Xenopus tropicalis: one gene and its partner. The protein of the gene in region 1 binds, or shares a complex with, the protein of each later gene. Links are inferred from orthologs where the notes say so. Each region holds a gene or a part of one and is shown on either strand. Other genes may lie near its edges.

The links. The genes of interacting proteins can lie anywhere in the genome.
Region 2: tonsl (region 1) and mms22l share a complex: the UniProt entries of both Homo sapiens proteins name them as parts of the MMS22L-TONSL complex. The link is inferred for Xenopus tropicalis from reciprocal best matches to the Homo sapiens genes TONSL and MMS22L.

The regions. Positions count from the first base shown.
Region 1 is NC_030682.2:152,172,826-152,176,480, reverse strand, and holds part of tonsl (tonsoku-like protein), read left to right. Parts: intron 1-16; coding exon 17-162; intron 163-308; coding exon 309-461; intron 462-742; coding exon 743-868; intron 869-1,160; coding exon 1,161-1,341; intron 1,342-1,656; coding exon 1,657-1,718; intron 1,719-1,803; coding exon 1,804-1,893; intron 1,894-2,030; coding exon 2,031-2,103; intron 2,104-2,645; coding exon 2,646-2,809; intron 2,810-3,067; coding exon 3,068-3,191; intron 3,192-3,655. UniProt on the Homo sapiens protein: Component of the MMS22L-TONSL complex, a complex that promotes homologous recombination-mediated repair of double-strand breaks (DSBs) at stalled or collapsed replication forks.
Region 2 is NC_030681.2:83,157,376-83,161,030, forward strand, and holds part of mms22l (protein MMS22-like), read left to right. Parts: intron 1-534; coding exon 535-761; intron 762-1,295; coding exon 1,296-1,805; intron 1,806-3,655. UniProt on the Homo sapiens protein: Component of the MMS22L-TONSL complex, a complex that promotes homologous recombination-mediated repair of double-strand breaks (DSBs) at stalled or collapsed replication forks.

The DNA of each region.
Region 1 (3,655 bases):
TGCTCCTTCCCTGCAGCCATCAGAGGTTGCCGCCTGGAGGAGTCCCTGTCTGAGCTGAGCGAAGAGGATCAGCAGGGGGCGCTGTGTCTGTATGAGCAGCTCGGGGACCTGTATTGTAAAGTTGGCTGCTACACAAGAGCCATAGAGGACTACAGAATGCAGGTAGGTACCACAAACCCACAATTCCATTGCTGTATAGTGTTACTGCCCTATGGCCATGGTTACTGTGCTAAACAGGCCGTTCCCCTGTGCCTCTCAGAACCTGCTGCCATCTTGTTCTGCTGCTTATATTTCTCCCCTTGTACCAGCTGAACTGCGCTGAGACGCTGGGAAGGCCGGAGCGGGAACTGGCTGTTATACACGTATCCTTAGCCACCACCTTTACTGACCTTAAGGACCACGTACAGGCTGTGAAGCATTACCGGGCCGAGCTGGAACTGAGGAAGGGAAATCCATCTGAGGTACGGAACTCGAGGAAGCGTGGCCCTGCCTTTCACACAACATTTCTATAGTATTGAGCAGAGTCAGACCTGAGGGTGCTGTTGTCGCAGCCTGTGTGAAATTGTCCTTTCTGGACCATTGCTATGAATAGACAGACAGGCAATGAAGCTCCCTCTCTTTACTTTGTGACCCATTCTGTGGCAGTCTAGGTGACAACATATTGCAGCCCCATGCTACTCATTGGCTTATTTTGAAGCAGACATCCAACCTGTGTTCAAACTGTCCCTCTGTCCCTCCCCAGGAATGCAAGACTTGGATGAACATTGCTCAATCTTATGAGGAGGATGGGCGAAGGCACACCGACATACAGAGTTGCCTTTCCAATGCATTGCAGTGCGCCCAGCGGGCAGGAGAGGCTGCGCTGCAGGTAAGTAGTGCTCACCCACTGCAAATGACACTTATTGTGCCCCTTTGTGCTCATCTGCACCTGTGGTGTCCGTGCACAATTAGAGAATCATCTTTGTGCCTCTATCTCTGGGCAATAGAGCTACAGTCATGAGTCTGCAAAGGGGGTTTCTCTGGGGTATGATGTGATGGGATGGGGCTTTTGGTTTGTAGTTATGTAACCCTGAGCTCTCATAGTGCTACTCCTGCTGTACTCCTTTGGGTGCTGCCTTGCCTTTTATAACTCAGTGGGTCTATGTGCTGCTGTTTCCCAGAGGAAGGTTCTCCGCCAACTGCTGGCCGTGCAGGAGAAGTTGGGGGACCCAGAAGTGGGCGACACAGAGGCAAAACTACAGGAGCTGTGTTCAGGCCCTGGCGGGGAGAGCAGCGAGGAAGAGGAGGAGATGGAGAATAGTGAGCCCCTGCAGGAGAGTGACTTGGAACTGTCGCAGAGCGGTGAGACTCCGCCTTTCTTTAGTGCCCATGTCTGCCAGCTCAGCTCATATGTTCCTTTGCTTGTGCCATTATTTCCCCCAATGTAGTTATTGCCGTGCCGGTTATTCCCTCCTACCCCCTTTTTCATTCATCACAAGCCCAATGAAACGCTGTACTGCCCCTTTATTATCATTTGTTACACAGGCAGCGGCATTCATTACCCTGATCCATTTACCCACAAGGGGCACTATTACTAACATTCAGCCTTCTCTGCGGTTTGTTTTATTGTGAACTGGAAAGTTAATTTATTTCTCATGAAATTTCACTTCTGTGCAGAGGATGACGAGGATCTGGAAGGGTATGAAAAATTAGTTCCTGGCAAGAGAAGAGTAAACCGGGTAAGACTGTGCCCAAGGAATGATGGGTTGTAAGGGGATTGCAAGCTCTAAGGGTCACTTACTTTTGTGCTTCTTTGTCTGGCAGTGGAACCGGCGTAATGAGAAGGGTGAGACGGTGCTGCACCGCGCCTGTATTGAAGGCAACGCCAAGCTTGTCAAGACCTTAATAGAGAAGGTAGGACCCCTTTCTGTGCCAGGTTGGCCCCCCGGTATGGCCGCCATTAGTCTGTAGGACGATTGAACAAACAATGTTTTCTCCTGTTATGTGATTGGCATTCTGTGCTTTTCCTGATTGTTTTCGCTCCCTTACAGGGCCATCCTCTGTCCCCCAGAGATTACTGCGGTTGGACCCCCCTCCACGAAGCTGCTAACCATGGCCACTTGGGTATGATAAAGATAAATCGAAGGAATTAAGGCAGGATATATTGAAGTGATAGTTTACCTTTAAATTAACTTTGAATGTGCTATAAAATGGCCAGTTCTAAGTAACTTTTCAATTGGTCTTTGTTTTTTTTTATCTTAATTCTGAATTATTTACCACCTTCTTCTGCCTCTTTCCAGCTTTTAAATAGGCGTCACCGACCCCGGCAGCCAAAACCTATTGCTCTGGGAGGCTCCAGTGTTATTTCTACTTATTAATACTTATTTTATCTATTTAGCCCCTCTACTATTCATGTATCAGTCACTCTCTCAAACCACTCCCTGGTCATTAAGCTAAATTGGACCCTAGCAACCAGATTACTGCTGAACATAAATCAAAGACAAAAAGTAAAATAATTCAAAAGCTACCAATTATAAAAAAATGAAGACCAATTGCAAATTTTCTCAGAATATCACTCTCTATCTCATAGTAAAAATTTACTAAAAGGTGAACCACCCCTTTACGGAACAGTTATAGTGACGACTCCTGTCCCTTCCTCTCTCCAGAGATCGTGGAACTTCTCTTGGAAAAAGGGGCCAACATTAATGATCCTGGGGGGCCTTTGTGTGAGGGGATCACCCCCCTTCATGATGCCCTGTCCAGTGGCAACTTCCACGTGGCCCAGTTACTGATTCGCCGAGGTGCATCTGTGACCCTGAAGAATGCCAAGGTGTGTTGACTGTTAGATCACTTCCTGTGTTATTACATCACTTCCTTTTTAGTTGCTCAATATTGTCAGTGATTGTGCTGTAAAGGTTAAAGTAATGCTCTCGCTGCTGCTAAATATCGCTGGGTTGGGGATTCTGGTACATGACGCTATGGTATAGGGAGTGCAGCGCTGAAGGAAAGCAGTGGGGTTGTGCTGGGCAGGTCTGGGATTTGGCCACAGTAGAAACTGGTTTGACCAATAATCTGGCATTTCCTTTAGGGAGTCGCCCCTCTGGGAAGCCTCCAGGATTGGATCGGTACCTATGGGAAACATCTGGATCAGGAAACCAGGCAGAACTGCAAGGAAACGGAAAGCCTTCTGCGGGAAGCTCTGGCCGGCCGGGGTAAGATATTGGGGAGCAGCTGGGGGTGCACGCTCGGTGTTGGAGTTGATTAAAGGAGAACTAAAGGCTTTAGGACCAGCCCAAGGCAACCGCTGCCCTTTAGCAGGGAAGATCTGTGCCCCCAAAGATGCCCCAGTAGCCCCCATCTTCTTCCTATCTCAATATACTTCTTCTCACAATATACTGTATATATAGAATCTAAATGTAACCATATGAGGCTGATTAGTAATTCATTCAGATTCACATTATATTGCAGCTCTAAAACCAGTGCAATTAGCATCACAATTTAATAATCATCCGTGTTCAGTTTATATGACAGACCAGCCTTATTTTCTGCTCGATTATTTGCGAAGACCCCTAAGCTCAGCTTCTCACCGGCTGCCCAGGGCCCACTGAGCATGTGCAGTGTCCCAGACAGAGAAACCAAGATGGGGAGCTCCTGTGACAACTGTAAAGACCTATAT
Region 2 (3,655 bases), on another chromosome or scaffold:
ATATATATAAAATCCCGGAGTTGCTGGTCTTTTTTATACTAATATATATATATATTAGTATAAAAAAGACCAGCAACTCCGGGATTTTATATATAGTATAAAAAAGACCAGCAACTCCGGGATTTTATATATATTAGTATAAAAAAGACCAGCAACTCCGGGATTTTATATATATATATAGTATAAAAAAGACCAGCAACTCCGGGATTTCTTGTGAAAAATCAAAACATATATTCAAAGTAGCATTAAACAGGCTGTTTATGCTACTTTGAATATATGTTTTGATTTTTCACAAGAAATCCCGGAGTTGCTGGTCTTTTTTATACTATTGGAACCCTTTACCGAGCACCCGAGGTATGTTATGTAACGGTGTGCCATCCTTTGTGTGTGTGTGTGTGTGTGTGTGTGTGTGTGTGTGTGTGTGTATGTATATATATATATATATATATATATATATATATATATATATATATATATATATATATATATATATATAATATTTATTTATTTATTTATTTTTTCCAATCTCTTTAGAACAGTTCTTTTACCATCCGCTGGCTAGGTTTACAAACATTGGCATGTGTCAGTAAAAGCCCTTGTTCTATGCTGGAGGTGGTGAGGAGCTGCTGCACTGATAAGCCCTCTCTTGACCTGTATAAGTCTGATAACAGCTACCTAATTTTCCTGAGGATTTTGGCTCGACTGATGAAAAAAGACAAAGAAAGCCGTGGTGCCCATCCTTGGAAGCAGATTAAAGGAAGGTCTGCATATTTTTTAAACAAATGTTTATCACAGCAAACTTCTGATGTTCAGCTAAATTACCTGTTTGATCATTTCAATCAGATATAGTGAGATATATACAGGGAATCGTCTAATGATATAAAAAATACAGAGGTGCTCTGTATCACCAGCAGCATTATTAAGCACTATTAATAAGCAGAGGCATGACAAATCACTTTATATGCTATTTTTCAGGCTTTTTATGAGTTATTGGTCTTATAGATTTAGAGCTTTTTATCCTGATAAAGAATACAAGCATAGAATTAAATAATGTGATTGTAAACAAATACTGGGATAGGCAAGAGAGGCAAATAATCAAATCAAAGGTTTGTATCCACATGTGTAAACCCTATTTATTAAAATTAATAAACCTTAGTGGCTATAGAAACTCCATATTCGGACATCCAGATAAATACAAATTAATAAAACCATTTTAAATTTAGGAACTAATTCTTTATCAAATATTGCATATTTGTTGTTGTGTTTTTTTTTTAATATTAAATATATTTCCACAGAATTTATTCCAAATTCCACCAGAAAAAAATGCAGGAGCTTACAGAGGTTGGACTACAGCACTTTTTCATTCTTTTCCTATTACTGGCAATTGTGGCAGACACCGAGGATGTTGCTAGTCGTGTTATAGACCTTTTACAGTTTTTAGTCCCCGGCCATCTCAGTACTTCCCAGCGGGCTCTTCTGTGGAGGGGTAATTTTGCATTTCTTTTGATATACGTGGAAAAAAACATGGACATAAGTGCTCTTGCAGAAAAGCTTTCTCACAGTTTCCGAGAAACTGCCAAGGAGTTCTTGGTGACAAAGGGCGATTTTGGACAAAAACACACACTCTGGACACTGCTTTCCACATATGTTGATGGTGTACAAGAGGTATTTGAAACCAGCCACAACCTTCAGCTTTCTGAAGAAAAACTTTTGAATGATGGCTTTAGCATGATGTTGCCAGCTTGTAGAGAGTCAGAGTTATGTTCTGTCCTAAATTTCTTGCAAACTGCTGTAGCAAGACTCCGGTAAGTAATTTTATATTTTTCTACAAGAAGTATATGTACAAAAGTTGTGTGAAAGTGTTTTTAGACTTGATTGAGTCCCAAATTATTGAGGCCGTAGTTACCCAAGATGGACAGGTTGATGGTAGTTAAATAGTAGTTAAAAAATGTGACACTACTTAATGCTACAAAAGAGTACAAACACACTAATGCAGCCCTCGCCTGACCAAATTTTCTAACCTGTCCAATAGATATCTGCTAAAAATCATATAACATTAAATAAACCCAATAGGATTGTTTTGCCTCCAATAAGGATAGTTATATCTCAGCTGGGATCAAGTACAAGGTACTGTTTTATTATTACAGAGAAAAAGGAAATATGTTTTTATGATTTTGAGTGATTTGATTAAAATGGAGTCTATGGGAGATGGCCTTTCTGTTATTTAGAGCTTTCTGGATAACAGGTTTCCAGATAATGGATCCCATACCTGTATGTGTTCTTCTATAATACCATATAGAAAAACTGTCACATTAAAGGAGATGGCAAGGCAAATTTTATAAATGGTACCATTGCATAGTCCTAGTATAGATAAAGAAAAACGATACACTTTGGGCTCAATTATAGTAAGAGAAACTTATAAAATCTAACCTGAAAGTTTCAGCGTTATCTAAGGTTTGGCGCGGCCATCTTTGAATTTGTATGCCCACTTCCTCTCCTTCGGTGTATTTACTGCGCATGCGCAAGCTTCCTCCCTCCCCCCAGCCTAGGCGCGAGAGCAAACTCCACGATCGCTCCTTGAATGAATGAACGCCGCCGGAGGCTTCTGCTTACAGCGCGTCGCCATAGCAACGAGACCGCTTGCTAGTGCACGCTTCTAGGGGCCGGCTCAGGAGATCTGATTGACAGGGAGCGCGCCTGCTTGTGCGTGCCCACAGAAGAGACAACTGCGCATGTGCCGCTTCGGTTGCAAGTCCTGAAGTCTGGCAATCAGCGAGGGATCATGGGAACTTAACTCTGCACACAGCTTCTAGCTTTTATATCGGTTTTAGCTTCTCTTCTTGTAATCCATGGAGATATGGGGAGACTTAAGGGCACCTTTCAGACTACAGATGGTAAGCCTCCAGCCTGAGATTAACTCTTGTGTAGCCTTTCCTTCTCCTTTTAAGTACTATAGTCTTTCTTCTGGCTCATGTGAATCACTGTGGCACCATGGTACAAGTGTTGTACCATGTTAGCCATAGTTTAGAAAGAAAACCAGATTTTTTTTTTTGTGGTAATGTGATCAAGTGTACTGTTAATTGACTAAATGATATATGTACCTGTGAGTAGTACGGTAGTACATTACCACTTAGTCACTGTGGTCACAAACCAAAAACGCACATACAGACAAAGTTACCAGTGCCAGTGTTAGTTATGTGTTCTGGTTAAGTTCTGCCTGTCACATACCAGAAAATACTGTACTCTAGTCCTGAAAAGAAAGATATCAAAATAGAGTCCAGCAGGTTCATGTGTAGCCAGAAAGAAATTGTAGATGGATGCGTGTAGGGGTGTTGGCAGCACAATAGCCTTTGCTGCAATCTGCCGCCTTTGGATGACCGCACTGATGATGACTCCACTTCTGTTTTTTGTTTTTGCAGCCCATGGGTAGCAGGTCAACCTGCTGATAAAATTGTTGCGGGTCAGTGGGCTGGGTGCCAATTAGACCCATGTAGACCTCGAGATATAATGATTAAGAGCATTTATAAAAAGGACAGAACAGTAACCATAACACAGTAGGGTGATTAAATGTGGAATCCAAAGCTATTAGACTACTAGTTAGATATTTAAACACTTCATCTTCAAGAAAAGGTGTCTTCTAATCCATAATATGCAA